2 linked regions of the Saccharomyces cerevisiae S288C genome follow. The protein of the gene in region 1 interacts with the protein of each later gene in a biochemical or structural test. Each region holds a gene or a part of one and is shown in the gene's direction. Other genes may lie near its edges. The genes, in order: IRC6 and APL1.

What was found.
Region 2: the proteins of IRC6 (region 1) and APL1 form a complex in vitro, tested with the Saccharomyces cerevisiae proteins (one study listed by BioGRID).

Annotation. Positions count from the first base shown.
Region 1 is NC_001138.5:230,071-241,341, reverse strand, and holds IRC6 (Irc6p), read left to right. Parts: upstream 1-1,514; coding exon 1,515-2,228; downstream 2,229-11,271. Other genes in the region: DUG1 (metallodipeptidase), read left to right, coding at 1-1,350; KEG1 (Keg1p), read right to left, coding at 2,282-2,884; ERJ5 (Erj5p), read left to right, coding at 3,087-3,974; SAP155 (Sap155p), read right to left, coding at 4,092-7,100; OSW7 (Osw7p), read left to right, coding at 7,798-9,330; IRC5 (putative ATPase), read right to left, coding at 9,401-11,271. UniProt on the Saccharomyces cerevisiae protein: Involved in gross chromosomal rearrangements (GCRs) and telomere healing.
Region 2 is NC_001142.9:444,418-453,161, forward strand, and holds APL1 (Apl1p), read left to right. Parts: upstream 1-1,505; coding exon 1,506-3,608; downstream 3,609-8,744. Other genes in the region: SAG1 (Sag1p), read right to left, coding at 1-444; LSO1 (Lso1p), read right to left, coding at 4,060-4,341; DNA-directed DNA polymerase delta subunit POL31, read left to right, coding at 4,785-6,248; SUI2 (translation initiation factor eIF2 subunit alpha), read left to right, coding at 6,603-7,517; MHO1 (Mho1p), read left to right, coding at 8,013-8,744. UniProt on the Saccharomyces cerevisiae protein: Adaptins are components of the adaptor complexes which link clathrin to receptors in coated vesicles. Clathrin-associated protein complexes are believed to interact with the cytoplasmic tails of membrane proteins, leading to their selection and concentration.

The DNA of each region.
Region 1 (11,271 bases):
TCTTCGGATGAATCACTAAGGTCCAAAGTCTTCGATAAGGCCAAGTTTATCTCCGAGCAATTATCACAATCGGGGTTCCATGACATTAAAATGGTGGATCTGGGCATTCAACCTCCACCAATTTCTACGCCAAATCTGTCTCTACCTCCTGTGATTCTGTCTAGGTTCGGCAGCGACCCTTCAAAAAAGACTGTGTTGGTTTACGGTCACTATGATGTGCAACCTGCTCAATTGGAAGATGGTTGGGATACTGAGCCATTCAAGCTTGTCATTGATGAGGCTAAAGGTATCATGAAAGGAAGGGGTGTCACCGATGACACTGGTCCCTTATTATCTTGGATTAACGTTGTGGACGCCTTCAAAGCCTCCGGACAAGAATTCCCCGTTAACTTAGTTACTTGTTTCGAAGGAATGGAGGAAAGTGGTTCTTTGAAATTGGATGAATTGATTAAAAAGGAAGCTAATGGTTACTTTAAAGGTGTAGATGCCGTTTGTATTTCCGATAATTACTGGCTAGGCACTAAGAAGCCTGTTTTGACTTATGGTCTAAGAGGTTGCAACTACTATCAAACCATCATTGAGGGTCCAAGTGCAGATTTACACTCTGGTATCTTTGGTGGTGTTGTTGCTGAACCAATGATCGATTTAATGCAAGTTCTCGGTTCCCTTGTGGATTCTAAGGGTAAGATCCTGATTGACGGTATTGACGAAATGGTTGCTCCTCTAACCGAAAAGGAGAAGGCTCTATACAAGGATATCGAATTTAGCGTCGAAGAATTGAACGCTGCAACTGGCTCTAAGACAAGTTTGTACGACAAGAAGGAAGACATCTTGATGCACAGATGGAGGTATCCTTCGTTGTCCATTCATGGTGTGGAAGGCGCCTTTTCCGCTCAAGGTGCAAAGACTGTCATTCCAGCTAAGGTCTTCGGTAAGTTTTCCATTAGAACCGTCCCCGACATGGATTCTGAGAAACTGACCTCTTTGGTCCAGAAGCATTGTGATGCCAAATTCAAGTCCTTGAACTCTCCAAACAAGTGCAGAACAGAATTGATCCATGATGGTGCTTATTGGGTTTCTGATCCATTCAACGCCCAATTTACTGCTGCTAAAAAGGCCACAAAACTGGTCTATGGTGTCGATCCTGATTTTACCAGGGAAGGTGGTTCCATTCCTATCACTTTGACTTTCCAAGATGCCTTGAACACTAGTGTCTTATTGCTGCCAATGGGTAGAGGCGATGATGGTGCTCATTCAATCAATGAAAAGTTAGATATTTCAAATTTTGTTGGTGGTATGAAGACGATGGCTGCTTACTTGCAATATTACTCTGAATCGCCAGAAAACTAAGTCATCTTATTTATATATGTGTATATATGTGTAAATTCCATGTCATTCAAGTTTACTCATTCCTATTCGAATTCTGAAAAGAGAGGAAAAACAGAAAACTCTTTATAGAGAAAATCTGATGCAGCAAGATAGCAAGTATATATACGCAAAAATACCAATCTACCATGGTTCTTCAATACCCCCAGAATAAAATATTGGTTTTATCAGATCACCCACACAACTTTTTAAAAACACAATTTTTGCAAGACCTGTTTCATTGCTCTAGCACGGGCATCAGTATAGTTAAGGACCAAACTTGGGAAAATAGATACTATAAAGTCCATTTTGATCTTTATATTGACTCTTGCAAAGAGATACCAGTATGGGTGGAAGAATTTATAACGCCTGAATGTGAACCGCTTAGAAATGTCATGGCAGGAATTATCTTAATAACGGACATCCGGCAAACAAAACCTCAAGAACTGCTGCACCAATTCATGATAGCTGCCCATCGAAATACTTTTGTTGTGTTGGCCAATGTGAACGAAGAAGTCGAGCAAGATGAAATTGATGAACTGAATGAGATATGGAGCAATGCCTTTACAAACGTCATCGAATTCGTAAACTGGAAAAGGTCAAAACCAACTGTTAATCATAACGACTATGGAGAAAAATTGGGGCTTGATAGGATCCAGGAGATTATAGATACCCACGACTGGTTAAATTGTGAAGTTCAACCGGCTACTAAAATAAGGGAGGAAATTCCTAATGAAATGCCCCTCGAACAAATAATTAGGAATTTGCAAAGTGCAAGGCTAAAATATAAGTCTATCGAGAATAGTAGTGAAGCTGATGCTTTTGCAAATGAAATGGCTGACGAACTATCCAGATATTTATGAGTATGTACAGATATGTATATGTGTATACATATGTATTAAACCAATAAGATTGCTCATTTTGTTAATAGTTTTTTGTATGCTGTTAGTAGTACAGGGAAGTATGCTAGTAAAACCACCCTGTTGATTATGTCCAAAGTCGGGGTAGAATGATAGTTCTTAACCTGGATATTTAATAGTAGCAATGCAAATTCACTCAGGTAGAGAATTGGCAATGTAACAAATGTGTTAACCTTCCATACAAGTGTTCTTTCCTTTACGCCCTTACGTTTAAAAAGTTTGCACCAATGGCAATATGCCTGTGATAAAGATAAGGAAATAATGAAACTAGAATATGATGCATTCTTGAGGATCAATGCATGCTCATAATCGTCATAAAAATGGATCACGCTGACTAAATAGATAAAATTTAGGTCTTTCAAAAACGTTCTTGAAAGCAAACCATATTTGAACCCGTGGAATCTAAGCAACCAAATAACTTCCATGATGCTGGAATAAAACATCAAATATATCAAGAATTCGTGGATTCCTCCCGGTAAAAACCGAGACCCTACCAGTGGCATTAATATCAGCCACCGTATCAATAATGCAGCATACAAAAAGCTTGTGGCTAATTGATAATACTGATAAAGCTTATGCGTCAACTTGATACCTGCCATCCTCAATGCTAGTTAAATATATGTGACCGAACAAATACTTTTATTGACGTTGTATTTACATTATTTCCCAATTTGAAGGTAAATCATATTTAATTTCCATATTCAAAATTAATAATCACGAAAAAAATGAGATTTTCAAAATAACACGTACCAAAAGAATAGAAAACGAACAAAAAATCAAGGTTACAAGATCACTAAAAGAATGAACGGTTACTGGAAACCTGCGTTGGTTGTCCTGGGATTGGTATCTCTATCATATGCTTTTACCACCATTGAAACAGAAATTTTCCAATTACAAAATGAAATAAGTACGAAATATGGCCCAGATATGAACTTCTACAAGTTCTTGAAGTTACCTAAACTGCAGAATTCTAGTACAAAGGAGATTACAAAAAACTTAAGAAAGCTATCCAAGAAGTACCATCCGGATAAGAACCCTAAATACCGTAAATTGTATGAAAGGTTAAACCTCGCTACTCAAATTCTTTCAAACAGCTCTAATCGTAAGATTTATGATTATTATCTACAGAATGGCTTTCCAAACTATGATTTCCATAAGGGTGGTTTTTATTTTTCCAGAATGAAGCCTAAGACTTGGTTCCTGCTGGCCTTTATTTGGATAGTCGTTAATATTGGGCAGTATATCATTTCTATTATTCAATATCGTTCTCAAAGATCAAGAATTGAAAACTTCATCAGTCAGTGTAAACAACAGGATGATACCAATGGACTAGGCGTAAAACAACTAACGTTTAAACAACATGAAAAGGATGAGGGTAAAAGTTTGGTTGTAAGGTTTAGCGATGTCTATGTTGTAGAGCCTGATGGAAGTGAAACACTAATTTCGCCAGATACCTTGGATAAACCTTCAGTAAAGAACTGTTTGTTTTGGAGAATACCTGCTTCGGTTTGGAACATGACGTTTGGCAAATCTGTTGGTAGCGCAGGAAAAGAAGAAATAATAACGGATAGTAAAAAGTATGATGGTAACCAAACAAAAAAGGGGAACAAAGTAAAAAAGGGTTCTGCAAAGAAAGGCCAAAAGAAAATGGAATTGCCTAACGGTAAAGTGATCTATTCACGTAAATGATACGTAAGAAGTAATATTATCATGATGAATGAATGAATGAATAGAAAACTACATGGTACTTATACATATAAATTAATATATATATATACAAATTAAAGAAAAGTACAAAACAATGTATCATTCATGATCATAATCATTATCATTATCAGCATCTTCATTATAATTACGAGTATTATCATTGTCATTATCATTATTATCGTTATTATCGTTGTTATTACTATTATTACTATTATGGTTGGTATTGTTAATGTTACTATTACTGTTCTTGTCCTCCGGCGGCCCCAGTATGAAAACCCCATTTTCCGTGTTCTTATTATCAACGTCTTCTTGAGCCCTATTGATTAACATTTCCCTTAACTTGTTGTGTAAATCAGATTCTGTAGATAAGGACAACTGTTCTTCTAGAGACTCAACATTGATTAATTGGCCGCCACCACTTGTTCCATTACTACTCCCGGTATCTGAATCAAGGATTTCATTATTATTACTTGCATCACCATTTGGAGTTAATACAGTAGTATTGTCAGGCAGCTGCGGAATGATGTTACCATTTCCATCATCAATATAACTTCCACCGCCAAGAATTTTAGAGTACATCATTCTTGTTTCGTTTAAGACTTCTTCGGAGTAGTATTGCCATTCTTCGGTTTGTAAAATTACTTGAATATCGGGAGATATTAGTTCCACTTTGTACAATTTAGAAAATTTGACCACTTCTTCGGCAATCAAGACAATATGGCCCATATATCCCAAATTCATTTTCCTTAGCTCATAAAATTTATATGAATCCTGGTAGCCCCTTAATATGAAGTCTGTAGTTATTTTGAAATCAAAATTTGGGTCTCTAATAACGGGAGAAAATCGGGAAACATCCGTTCCTTTTTCATCTGATATGACGATATCAGTCATAAATTGATAGGAGCTCTTTAAGTTAAACAGAGACAAAACAAGGAAGGAATTATAGGAAAAATCCATTCTTCCATTGAAGATTTGCTGAATTATGTCGAATATAACATTATGCCAAAAATTGTTCCAAGGATGTGTTAAGAATAGTTCCATTATTTTGGAAACAATTCGCGTATCATATAGTTTGATTTTGAATAGGTCCCCGACCGTGGGGTCGGTCCTAAGTTTTATGTTTTGCTTCATATTGATGTATGGAATTTCGAAGCTCTCGTCTATTTCGTCGCCATAGTCACTTTCATCATCATTATCATTATTGTCGTTATCTATTTTACCGTTGTTATTTTTTAGGTCGTGATCAGTGTCACGTGTTGGAGAGTGCTTCGTTTTAAGTTGCTCCTTTTCTTCGATACTCAGATCGTTTAATGCATCTTGTAAATGATGGGATAACTGGCTCCTTACTTTATCTCTTCTTCTGGCTATTCTTTCTGCCCTTTTGGAATTCATTAATCCCATATTAGAGCAATGCAGTAACTCGGCGATTAATTCCACCACTTTGAATCTTTCAAATCCTAAAGGTTTAAATTTTTCGTGCAACTGATTTTCATGTAATGGGATGTTGGCGTCATTTTCAATATCTAGAATGATTTGGAAAAAATCGGACAAATGGTTTGAAAATTTCCGAAGTAGATAGCCTAAATATATTGGATCTCTATTTGAAGGTGGATGAGTCTTTATAGTAGTGGTTAAAAGATTAACTTGATCGTAGTCTGAATTGTTTTTCCTTATCAGCTCAATGACAATCGAAACTGTGGTATTTAATGCGGCACCTCTTTGGTTGATCATGATATCGACTAGCTTTGCAATGGATTCGGGAGATGCTAGCTGTCTCGTCAAGGAGTTTGGACCAATGGAAATATCATCCAAGGGTGCATTAGCAGAAATGGCAATCAGAGCCTTTAAGAAATCACCCACGCATGCTTGGATGTCAGCTGGGGACTCTTTGTTATTTAGAAAGCTTAAGCATTTGCTGATCAAGTTTTGATCATATACTAATTCAATTATTCCCGTGGGTGATTCAATCTTATCTGTGGATATTATTTTCAAGAAAAAATCCATCAATAGGGAAATATCAACATGCTTTAACATATCATCAACAAAGCTTCTCTCCGTTCGAATAAAATTTAAATATTGATCCTGCCTGGTTAACAACAGATTTTGGTTAATCTTTAAGAATATGGGTACCAAGGGAGAGTTTTCAGAATTGAAATTTGGCTGGTTGATGATAGACCAAATCTTGTTTAAGTATGATTGGTTTTTAACTAATGACTCGCTAATCAACCATATGTCTAAGGAAAAGATTTCAGATATTATGGTGGCCTTTGTCAAATAAGCAGATTCATCGTCCTCATTCGCATCGTCGTCGTCGTCATTGTTGTTGATATCATCGTTACCAAACGAGGAGCTTCCGCGTTTTCGTCTCTTCTTGTTATTGCTGTTATTATCGTCCTCTTTCTCCTCTTCTTGCTCCGTATCAGATTCCACATAAACGTCCTCTTGTGAGCTATCATCAAGCTGTTGCTGTTCTTGATAATCTATCAGGTTATTCAAATCCACTGTGGTGGCGGTTTTAATCTTCGAGATACATTCCATCAGTTGGTCGACCAGATATTCCATATTATTCACTTTCTTATTAGTTTTCTTATCAAAGAAAAATCCAAAGCAAATGAAGTCAAGTAGCGTCTTGTTTTGTCTCGATAATTCGTTCAGTAGCTCTGTCTCTACAAGCATTCTTTCAATAAAAGAGTTATCCAAATTCTTTGTGGTGACCATCATGGGAGCAGTAGCATTGCTGATATCCTCCTCATCTAAATCAGTTTTAGAAGTTGACCCAGAAGAAAAAGATGTAGTGGAAGATTCGCTAGAGTTCATGCTCCGTTCCTCTTCCTCTTTCTCATACCGTTCTTGCTGATCATCCTTCTCAAATCGACTCTTCTGATCTCCACGTGCCGTTTTCACTTCATCACCATGACTATACTCCTCCGGAATAGAATCTAGGGAGTCACTTGTACCTCGTTCCTGAACGTTGTTGAAAATAGCGGGAATGGCTTTACCAACGCTTGGGTTAATCCTTTCCAGTTCGTGTAGCACATGAAAATATTCATCTAGGATCTTATTAATATTAGAGTGATTAAGATTCTGTCCAAATGGCCAAAACGACATCTTTACTCTGGCTTGTTGTTTTCGTCTTTTTTTTCTTTTCTTTTGTAAAAACTGCTGCTCCAAAAATCAATAGAATGGGAACGGCAGAGACTATAGTCTAGGGAAGTAACGCTTGTGTCTTAATCGTGTTGAAATAAAATCAAAATGAAATAAAATCAAAATAATAAAAAAAGAGGAGGAAAAAAGGGGATAGTCACTCAAACCCACTATCTAGCTTTAGTCTCTCAGTCTTTTAACCGCTACTTGGAGAAAAAATACTGAATCCAATGGTCAAATAAGGCCTTTCTTCTAGTTGCTTTGGAGCGTATGATACCACGATACTGTTGGTTTTGGTTCTAATTGGCCACTTAAAATTATTTTTCTTTCTTTTTTTCTAGAGGAAGGGATAACCCTACTAAGACCTATTCTATAATTACCAGCCCTATAGTTGTCTTTCATTTTTTAGATAAATGCCCTCTTTAAAAATTAAATTAACCCTACTCATTTTGTTGTCATTTCGGCCCTTTTAAGCCACAATACAGGTATCATTTAACAGGAATTACATAATAGTACTTTAGAAGAGACTTGTATGGCATCGAGGCTTCCTTTTTGACTATTGGAAGATAGCATTTTTTTGGGTGTTGCTACTATCATATTTCTGTTACTGATTGACCTTTTCTTAACTAAGAAAAAGGTGGTTAGTTCTTTACTAAAAATCATGAAGGCCGTTTTCAAAGTAACGACTGCTTTGCTGGCTTGCGTGTTTATTGCAAGGTATCTGGTCTGTCAGCAAAATGGTCTGGGAAGCTTTGCCACAGATTTACAGCCCATTTGCCGGCATACTGAATTTTCAGTTGGCTCACTATTCGATTCTAAATTGGTTGAAGGTTCAGCGGTTTCTGACTATTTAGTTGGAAAGTACTCACAATCGATAAAACCACTGATTGAAAGATACCCCAACTCATCCTTGAAGAGAATTATGGGATATTTTTACCGCTTTTGGTACAATATTTTCTCTTTTCTAAGGCTAAATGAGCTCTGCTGTTCGCTACATTCCAAGTTGGGACCTTTATTAAATCATCTAAGGATTGCCTGGTACTATTTAAAGCCATATACAGACAATGTGAAGAATGTACTAGAGAATCCATTTAACTCCTCTACGGATTGGATGAAATACGGCTCCTTTAGCGCTGATGGCACGCTCACCAAACCCATTTTTGAGACAGACTCGGAAACAGAGGATTATGAGGATGATGAGAATGAAAATGAGGATGAGGATGAAGATGAGGATGAGGATGATGTCGGAATTGAGGATGAAAATAAAGAATACGAGTTCGATGGAGTACAGGATGGCCACGGGAACTCACAACTCGTCACTGCTGCTATTTTGCAGGATTTGTCAAAGATTATCATTGGTTCCAATAGCCATGCAGAATTGGAAACTTACGAGGCAGAATCATTAAAAATGGAATATGAAGCATGGATTAAGGCTATAGATTCGAAAATACACAGTGCGATGGCACTTTTGGATTCAGAGATACAGTCTGTGTTCGAGGCCGAGGTGCAAAATAAATCTATAGAAATCACTAGGAATCTTGATGACCTTAACACTACCGTTAATGAGCAATTAGTGTTTCTAGATTCAAAAATCAAAGATATTAATTGTACCTCTAAATTCGATCCTGTGCAAAATAAAATAAAGTATTTTGATGAATCGGGTCAAGTTGAACTGGAAGCTTACATTACCAAATCATCTATCACATCGATACTGAAGAATTATAAAATACATTTGTTAGACTTTGAAAAATCACTGTTTCATTCATTAGATTCTTTTCTTACCGAAATGGCTAAACTGGCAGAATCGATTCGTCTTGAAAACGTCGAAGTGTACGAAGAGTGGGGCGATGTAATGATAAGTCAATGGTCGCAAAGAATGGCATATATGGACGTCAGAGGTCTCCATTTGGAAGATCAATACGATCCTGCCTATATAGAAGAGAATCATTCCAACTGGCTCCGTTTCATGGAATTGAAAAAGAAAGTTATTTCTGAGAGGAACCGTCTGGTAAAACATGATCTGGATATGACTTTGATACTGGAATGGATTACTAAACTAAAAGCTGATTTCCAGAACACAAAAAATAATATTCAAGATACCTTTCTGCAACGAATGAATACTGCGGATACTTTATTCAAAAACCGTGAACTAAAGGAACAACTAGAGGAAGAATTTGTACGGCAAGAACATTGATCAATATATAGGTATGTATATGTACATATATACAAACATTTAATAAAAACAATATTGTATGATAACCAAGTTAAAGACCGGAGGTTGTTTCAAATAGCTTGACGTGCGGCAGATCTACGACTCTGTTGGCCTTGTACGCTTCAAGAGATCTGTTGGTCAATTCTTCAACCTCCTTATCAGTCAGTTGGCCCTCAGTAGCCTTATTTTCTTTCTGTCCCCCATTTTCAAAGCCTATATTGGATTCATCGCTCATTAAAAGCATAGATAACTCCTGGACTAAGTCCTTATTAGTGACATTAACACCCGCTTTGTTTGCCTTCAAAAAAGAACCTTCATTTAACGCCAATTTTTTCAGGTTATTGAATTTTCCCATCTGGATAACCATTCTTTCCAAATTTCGCTTATTGGCCGCTCTGGTCAATATAACATGTTCAATGGTGTTATCACAACACAACCTATATACTATAACCGGTGATTCTTGGCCAATACGGTGACACCTGTCCATGGCTTGTAAATCCACCTGTGGATTCCAATCACTATCAAACAAGACAACTGTATCTGCCCCGACTAGATTAATACCCAGTCCTGCCGCCCTTGTGGACAATAGGAAAATGTTATGCTTATCTTTCGAGCTATTAAACTTCTCGAGTTGATCCTTTCTTGTTTCATTGTTTACTGAACCATCAATTCGAAATGTCGCGAACGAATTTAAATCACACCAATCTTCGATCAAATCGAGCATGTTAACAAACTGAGAATAAATAAGCACTTTGTGCCCCTCAGATATTAATGGGGGGATTAATTTTTGTAAGATTTGTAATTTCCCAGACGTCTTTAAAAGAGTTTCCAAAGTCAAGTCTTCTGGGTGTAAATATGGGAAATAAAACAAAAAAGTTGAGTCAATGATTTGTCTCAATTGCATCATCATATTTTGCAATTTCTTATTTGAAATTTCCATTTGCAGGTTCTTCTTATATAGTTTGTCCATTTGCAACAAGGTTGGATTGATTTTATTGTCTGTATTTGAAGTTTCATTACCAGATAGTTTATAATTGATGAAATCTCGTATGGACCGATTAGAAACGTGGCCGATGTATTCATCGTTCAATGTGAAAAAATCCTTGATTAATTCTTTGAACATGGTTTTTTTCAACTTTCCATTCAATCCAGCCTTATAGAATTTTTCCTGTGCAGACGTCATCGGACAATTTATGATATATTCTCTCTTTGGCGGCAGAATATTAGCCAAAACAACTTTTTTCAATCTTCTCAAAAGGAATGGTTTCAGAATTGTGTGTAAATTGGAAATCAAATTTTTCTGTAGTTCATCGTTGATTAACTTATTCAATGCTTCAGAGTTGGAACCGGAGCCTAAATTTAAGCTGTCGAAGTCAAACCATTTATTGAATATCTCGAAATCGGCAAAGATATCGGGCATTATGAAATTCAAAAGTGACCATAATTCAGCTAGGTTATTTTGTAAAGGCGTCCCTGTTAGTAGCAGTCTATTGGAAGTATTGATTTTTTTTAACTCTTTAATCAATCTACAGTTTATATTTTTCAGACGGTGGCCTTCATCAACAATTAAAAATTTCCAATTTTGACTCATGATTAAGTCGGTATCTCTTAAAATAATTTCATATGATGTGATGACGATCCCCGTGCCGCCGTGTTGTTTAAAGAAATTTTTCAACTTGGCAGAACGTTCCTTATAACCATTGGTCCCATAATATTTTAGAACTGGTAGATCAGGAGCGAATTTTGCAAATTCGTTCATCCAATTATCTAGGGTGCTTAATGGTGCAGTCACTAGAAAAGGACCCTTTGTGTCCATTTCATATATGAACGCCAAAAGAGCAATACTTTGAACAGTCTTACCAAGACCCATTTCATCGGCAAGAATTCCGTTCAGGCCATTTTCATAAAGAGTGATCAGCCAGT
Region 2 (8,744 bases), on another chromosome or scaffold:
TTCTAACTCATATTCATAGCTGGAACCACCATCACTAAAATTTAGCGAAAATGTTATGGATCCATCAATCGTATTATAGGAGGACAGGTCATTTTGAGCAGTACATGTGAAAGTAGTATTTTCATACAAGTATGCAGCCTGTTGCGAAACATAGCATTTGAAAGCCTCAGTACCATCCGCTAAGGAAATAGTAGCTGTTTGCGATGAGTTTAATAGCTTAATCCTATAAACATGTGGCATTGATAATGTGAATTCATCGCCCTCCCTAATGGAAGACGCATCTGCAATACTAAAATCAAAAGTGGCAGTCCAACCTTGATCAGGTTGTTTATTTGCAGTCAGTGGAGTAATTTCTAAATTGGAAAATGTGATATCGTTGATATTTATAGCAGAGGCCAATGCCAAGGAAAAAAGCCACAGAATAATTTTGAGAAAAGTGAACATTTTGAAAACTGGCGAATTGTTGTTCCTTTTGTGCTGACTATATTAAGCGAGGCGACTGATATAAGGAAGATATGAGAATGGACGATTACTAGAATAAATAGAGGGCATTTCGCATATTTATAGTATGCTAAAAGGAATCTTTTTTTGATTCACATGGCTTTTTTTTTAGAAGATTGCATTTCGTTACATGATCAAACAATTCCATTGTAACGTTTTTGGGAATATTTAAGCGCCGTTACTGAAGAATGAAGTGACATAAAGCTGCCATTGTATGGTAAAACACCAAAGGCGAGTACCCTTAGCATTTCCTTATCGAGCTGGAGCGGCTTCTACCTTCCTAATTAGGTCATCAATGACCTGCAAAACAAAGCGAAATGGACAAAGGACCTACACTTGCCTCGTGGCGGGAAACTGCATGTAGTTGTTCAATGTTTCACCACTCAGTGTTGAAACTGTTTACTCCATTGAATTGAGGTGACGATGGATAAACTTTCTTTATTTTTTATATTTTTTTATAATTTAATTAACCTAAATTGAGCCTAACAGAGGAATTTGAAACAACACAATAGAAAACATGAGTTTCAAAAGCTAAATATGGTATTACTATTCATAGTGGTCTTGGTAATGAATAATGCATATGTATACTCTTCTTAACGCCTTATCTTATGTAACCATACACTTTTTTAGTAAGGTTTCAATTAAGCTACTATTCTCAATTAAATACTGCTCTGAGCTAGATAAGGCCTATTGAAGTTGGAGGATTAGATGGATAGAAATAAGGAACTAAATCGTCAAGTTCGAAAGCCTATTCCCATTCATGCATATCACTTACCTTTCCTTAATCATGATCTCTTTAGTGCCATCAGAACTATTTTCTTAACATCGCGATTCTGTCTTCCGGGTATCGCTCCAAAAATGTGCGAGGAAATAGGAGATCGTTCAAATCATCAACTTTTAGTATTGGGTATCAAAGTATCGCAGCCTGGAAACAGAATTAATCTACTGCACAAGAAGGGAATACAGCAAGAACATTCACTTCATTAATAGGACGTATTTCGCTTATGTCCGATCAAAAAGTTTTTGCCAGATATAAAGCAAATGAAATCGTCACAGATCTGCAACATTTTGGAGTAAAAAAGTTTAAATCGAATATAACAAGAAGGAAAAATGCTCTGAGAAAAATTATCGCCAATTTGGTTCTAGGAAACTATGGCGAAATGTCCGTTCTGTTTTCTGAGCTCTTGAAATTTTGGCAAATTGAAGATGATCTAGAAGTGAAAAGAATTTGCCATGAGTATATTAGGGTGATCGGCGCATTAAAACCTCAGCAGGCCAGAGAGGCTTTGCCATTTATAATGGACGATTTCAAAAGCAGAGATGAAAAGTTACAAATAATGGCACTAAGAACTCTGGTATTAGTCCCGGTGAAAGAGCTATCTGATCAGGCCTTCGACTGTATCATTTCATTGGTAAATCACAAGTCTCCACCTGAACAAGTGACGAGGACAGCAATTTACGCACTGTTGGATTTAGATGAAATTGATCATGAAAGGGTATTGGGGTTATCAAGCATTCTACATGACATTGTAAAAGCACAGTCGAGCTCTCCAGAAGTCATTGTAGCTGCATTACATACTTTATATTCCATTCACGAAAAAAACGCTAACATGGAACCCTTCAGGATTCCCTTGGAACTCGCTTTTGACATGCTAGAGCTTTTACCCGAATTAAATGAGTGGAATAAGGCTACTGTTTTGGAAGTTTTGACGACTTCGGTTGTGCCGCAGCATTATTTGGATACCCATGAAATGATCGAACTAGCTTTACCGTACCTGCAACAAGTAAACACATACGTAGTGTTGAACTCTTTAAAATTCATCATGTACTTGTTGAATTATGTTGACGTCATCAAAGAAACTCTAGCCGAAAAGCTATCTAACTCTGTAATAGCTTTGTTAGATAAGCCGCCTGAATTACAATTTTTAGTATTAAGAAACGTTATTCTTCTTTTATTGAGTAGGGAGTCATCTCTACTCAGGCTAGACATTTCGTATTTTTTCATCGAGTACAATGACCCCATATACATCAAAGACACGAAATTAGAGTGTTTATATCTTTTAGCTAACAAGGAAACATTACCAAGAATTCTAGAAGAGTTGGAACAATATGCTACAGATATTGATATTCAAATGTCAAGGAAATCAGTCAGAGCCATTGGTAATCTGGCTGTTAAGCTAGATGAAGACTCTGTACACGATTGTGTCGCTGTTCTACTAGATTTGTTAGAATTCGGTGTTGATTATGTCGTCCAGGAGATTATTTCGGTTTTCAGAAATATTTTGAGGAAATATCCCAATAATTTTAAAGCAAACGTAACAGAACTAGTCAAACACACTGAAGTTGTACAGGAACCTGAATCAAAAAACGCTATGATCTGGATAATAACGCAATATTCGGATGTAATTCCAAACTACCTGGAGTTATTTAGAGTTTTTTCCTCAAACATGTTTAGTGAGACGCTAGAAGTGCAATTTTCCATTCTGAACTCAGCAATAAAATTCTTCATCAGAAGTCCTACAAAGGAAACTGAAGAACTTTGTATGGATTTATTAAAAGGATGCATCGATCACGAAAATAATCCTGACTTAAGAGATAAAACACTGATGTATTGGAGATTGCTGTCATTAACGAAAACGTCTCGTATATCAAACGCGATAACTTTTGAATCTTTAAAATCAGTACTGGACGGAGAGTTGCCACTAATAGAAATGAACACGAAATTAGATCCCACCGTTTTGGAGGAATTGGAGCTAAACATTGGTACAATAGTATCGATTTACTTAAAACCTGTTTCTCATATCTTTAGATTGAATAAAACCAAACTGCTACCACAAAGTCCTATTTTGAATCCAAACAAAGACCTCTTGCCAGTTGTAGGTAACTCATTTCCTCCAACTGGAGCTAATAGGGACCGTCAAAATTCAGAAAGCCAGTCCTCGACGAAGTCCAGAAAGACTGCTATGATGGATGATTATGATAAGCCCGCTGAAAAAATTAATCAGTTGAAAGGTAAGCGTAAATCTAGTTCAAACAACCCCTCAAAACTATCACGGAAACCCTCAACTTTATTAAGAAAACTCTCTATGAAACGGCCCTTTTCGTGACTGCAAATGATACTAATTCCTGTATTTAAATATACTCATATTTAACGAACAATTATGATGAATGAAAAAACCTGATATAATAGACTTAACTAAGCGATCATAAAAAAATTCAAAAAGTTATTTTATAAAACAATTCAGATGTTAAACTAAAGAGTTAATGTAATATATATACAATGAACTGCGTCATAAATTCCCATAGTTCAGCTCATGGGACATTATCTACTTATAAAGACGTGGCTTGGCAGCATTTCATATATAAGGCTACTGAATGTAAATTTTTCTTCCATTGTCTTTCCCGTGTCCCGAGAACTCAATTCAAGCACTGTTCTTGGGCGTAATAAACCTTCCGGTACTACTAAAATCAGACAAAGGCAGGAAGCCTCGATTTGACCTTTTAACGGGTAAAGCTCTAAAAGTTGCTCTCTGCTCCATATTCTCGTTTTCCGTCATTTCAGTATCTTTTTCCCCTGCCTCCCTTACCTAAAGCTTCCTCTTCGGCGGCTAGTAATTGGTCTCTTTCCTTTTTGGCTCTTAGCTTCTCTGTCTTTTTTTGTTCCATAATCAGCTTCTTCTGGTTAGGGGTTCTCGCACCTTCTTCCCACCTCTGAGCTTCTTGAGCTTCTAGTTGTTGTTTCTCTAGTTGGTCCTTTTCGTAAGCTTGCCTACGTTTTCTTGCTCTTCCTGCTGCCACTTTTTTGGCAGTTTCTGAGTATCTCTTGCCAGTATTATGCATGTTCGCTTCTTCACTATGTTTGGTGGTTTCTAATGACAACTATGCGGTTAGCAAACTTCCAAAAGGCGGTTAATAATACGACTACACATTATCCTATATATATATATATATGTACGCAAGTGCTTAGATTGGAAAAAAGGGTGCAACATTCTCGATTGTTCTATTTCAGCCTGTTGATATCAATCTGTCGTTCAATGCTTTGTGGGTGTGCTTTACCCACTCTTATACAGTAGTTAAGTGGCAAAAAGGGTGTCAAAGGGAAAGGAAAACCAGAGGAAAAGCAAAATAGCCGCCAATACTAACTCTAGATTTATATCATGTTATACGATTAATCAGACGCGTCTGATTAATTTCAAAAGTTAAAATATAAACTATTTTTGAAATCCCATTGCAATAAGCGAACTATAGCTGAATCTTTCCTGCAAAAATGGAAGTGAAGGGCAATGGACGCATTGTTAACAAAGTTCAACGAGGATAGAAGTCTCCAAGATGAAAACTTGTCCCAACCACGAACGAGAGTAAGAATTGTTGACGACAATCTTTACAACAAATCGAATCCATTCCAACTATGCTATAAAAAACGTGACTACGGTTCTCAGTACTACCACATTTATCAATACCGTCTAAAGACTTTCAGAGAACGCGTCTTAAAAGAATGTGACAAGAGATGGGATGCGGGCTTTACCTTGAATGGCCAATTAGTTCTAAAAAAGGACAAAGTGTTAGATATTCAGGGAAACCAACCATGTTGGTGCGTAGGATCCATATATTGCGAGATGAAATATAAACCAAACGTACTGGACGAAGTGATCAATGATACATATGGTGCACCAGATTTAACTAAAAGTTATACTGATAAAGAGGGTGGTTCTGATGAAATTATGCTCGAAGATGAAAGTGGGAGAGTGCTTCTAGTGGGAGATTTTATTCGGTCTACACCCTTCATCACGGGTGTTGTTGTAGGTATACTGGGTATGGAAGCTGAAGCCGGGACATTTCAAGTTTTAGACATATGCTACCCCACTCCTTTACCACAAAATCCTTTCCCTGCACCAATTGCTACCTGCCCCACCAGGGGAAAAATTGCTCTTGTTTCTGGGTTAAACCTCAATAATACATCACCTGATAGGCTATTGAGATTGGAGATTTTGAGAGAATTTTTGATGGGGAGAATCAATAACAAAATTGACGACATTTCTCTAATTGGTAGATTACTGATATGCGGCAACTCTGTTGACTTCGACATTAAAAGCGTGAACAAAGACGAATTGATGATTTCTCTAACTGAGTTCAGTAAATTTCTACACAACATTTTGCCATCTATATCTGTTGATATTATGCCCGGAACCAATGATCCAAGTGACAAATCTCTACCGCAACAGCCTTTCCACAAATCATTGTTTGATAAGTCCCTAGAATCATACTTCAACGGTTCTAACAAAGAAATTTTGAATTTAGTGACCAACCCATATGAGTTTAGCTATAATGGCGTAGACGTTCTAGCCGTTTCAGGCAAAAATATCAATGATATTTGTAAATACGTAATACCATCAAATGATAACGGAGAAAGTGAAAACAAGGTCGAGGAGGGCGAGAGTAATGATTTCAAAGACGATATAGAGCATCGCCTGGACCTTATGGAATGTACAATGAAATGGCAAAACATCGCGCCCACCGCACCTGATACCTTATGGTGTTATCCGTACACTGATAAGGATCCATTTGTATTGGATAAGTGGCCCCACGTTTACATTGTGGCAAACCAGCCATATTTTGGAACAAGAGTAGTGGAAATAGGTGGTAAGAACATAAAGATAATATCTGTCCCTGAATTCAGTTCTACTGGGATGATAATATTACTGGATTTGGAAACGTTAGAAGCAGAGACGGTCAAGATTGACATTTAAATAAAACAAGGAATAATTTCCACATAGATATGCAATTAAGTTTTATATGTAAAAGTGAGCATTCATCGTTCAGCTCAAAATACGTTTCTTGTCACAGCTGGTAGAAAAACTATGAGCGTTTTTTCTTACCCGCAGTCGGAGAAAAATTTTTTCTTCGAAGAGGCGAAAAAGAGAAGAAGAGAAAGCACAAATCTGATGAAATAGTAGTATAAAATCGCATTTACAAATTTTCAACCATTGTTTATTTCCTAGGTCATTAAAGAGTAAAGTGCAATCTGTTTACTAATCAGTTTTTGTCTTCATATTTTTGTGTCTTTTCTGCTGCCTCACGCACCTTCTATAATACACCAAATAATGTCCACTTCTCATTGCAGATTTTATGAAAACAAATACCCAGAAATTGACGATATCGTCATGGTTAACGTCCAGCAGATTGCTGAAATGGGTGCTTATGTTAAATTGTTAGAATATGACAACATTGAAGGTATGATTCTACTAAGTGAATTGTCCCGTAGACGTATTAGGTCAATCCAAAAATTAATTCGTGTTGGTAAAAATGATGTCGCCGTTGTTCTTCGTGTCGACAAAGAAAAAGGTTATATTGATTTGTCCAAACGTCGTGTTTCTTCTGAAGATATCATTAAATGTGAAGAAAAATACCAAAAATCTAAGACTGTTCATTCCATTTTAAGATACTGTGCCGAAAAATTCCAAATCCCTTTGGAAGAACTATATAAGACCATTGCTTGGCCATTAAGTCGAAAATTTGGTCACGCTTACGAAGCTTTCAAACTATCCATCATTGACGAAACTGTTTGGGAAGGTATTGAACCGCCATCAAAAGATGTTTTAGATGAATTAAAGAACTATATCTCCAAGAGATTAACACCACAAGCTGTAAAGATTAGAGCCGATGTTGAAGTGTCTTGTTTTAGTTACGAAGGTATCGATGCCATTAAAGACGCATTAAAATCAGCTGAAGACATGTCCACAGAACAAATGCAAGTTAAAGTTAAATTAGTCGCCGCCCCATTATATGTTTTGACCACCCAAGCCTTGGATAAGCAAAAAGGTATTGAACAACTGGAAAGCGCTATTGAAAAAATTACAGAGGTTATTACAAAATACGGCGGTGTTTGCAACATTACCATGCCACCAAAGGCTGTCACTGCTACTGAAGACGCTGAGTTACAAGCTCTATTAGAAAGCAAAGAATTAGATAATAGATCTGACTCTGAAGACGATGAGGATGAGTCAGACGACGAGTAATCATTGCCGCGCCTAATTTTTCTAGGTGTTTTCAAGTGTCATACTGTTTTAGAAAATTTTGTATAGAACAAATACGTATATCCTGCCATATCATATTCTTTGCAATATACACCTTGTACATTTGGCTATTATAAATATTACAATCCATTTAATCATAATCAAAATTTAATTTCTGTTACCACGGGGTTGTCAGTGGAGCATGCCCTGCCGGTTCTCTATAATTTATCTTTTTCACATGAGATATTTTTACCTCAAAAGGTAGTGATGCTGTAATAATATGAGGCTCCCCCCTTTCCTTCGGAATTGCATTTAAATCATTGGGGAACACTAAGACAAGACAAAGGGGCCGTCCACTCATGTGATTTTCAACAAAACAGATAACATGCGGATACACACTGATATATTTTCAAAGGAAAGTCTGACTGATACTTAAGTGAAGTGGTCCTAGTCGGTGGCTTAGGTGGACTACAGTGCAAAGAATAGAATTTTTCAAACATGTCAATACGTCCAGCAACACATGCAGGCTCATGGTATTCCAATAGAGCCCAAGAATTATCTCAACAACTGCATACATACTTGATCAAAAGTACCCTTAAAGGCCCAATTCACAACGCCAGAATTATCATATGTCCTCATGCCGGTTACAGGTATTGTGGACCCACTATGGCCTACTCGTACGCATCGTTGGATTTGAACCGTAATGTTAAGAGAATATTTATCTTGGGGCCGTCGCATCACATCTATTTCAAAAACCAAATATTAGTTAGTGCATTCAGTGAGCTAGAGACGCCCTTGGGTAATCTGAAAGTGGATACAGACTTGTGTAAAACATTAATACAGAAGGAGTATCCTGAGAACGGAAAGAAGCTGTTTAAGCCAATGGATCATGACACTGATATGGCTGAACATTCCTTAGAGATGCAGCTCCCCATGTTGGTGGAAACTTTGAAATGGAGAGAAATTTCTTTAGATACGGTGAAGGTATTTCCTATGATGGTTTCTCATAACAGCGTTGATGTTGATCGTTGCATTGGTAATATCTTGTCGGAGTACATTAAGGATCCGAACAATTTATTCATTGTAAGCAGTGATTTCTGTCATTGGGGCCGCAGATTCCAATATACTGGGTACGTCGGAAGCAAGGAAGAGTTGAATGATGCCATTCAAGAGGAAACAGAAGTGGAAATGTTAACTGCTAGGAGTAAACTTTCACATCATCAAGTTCCC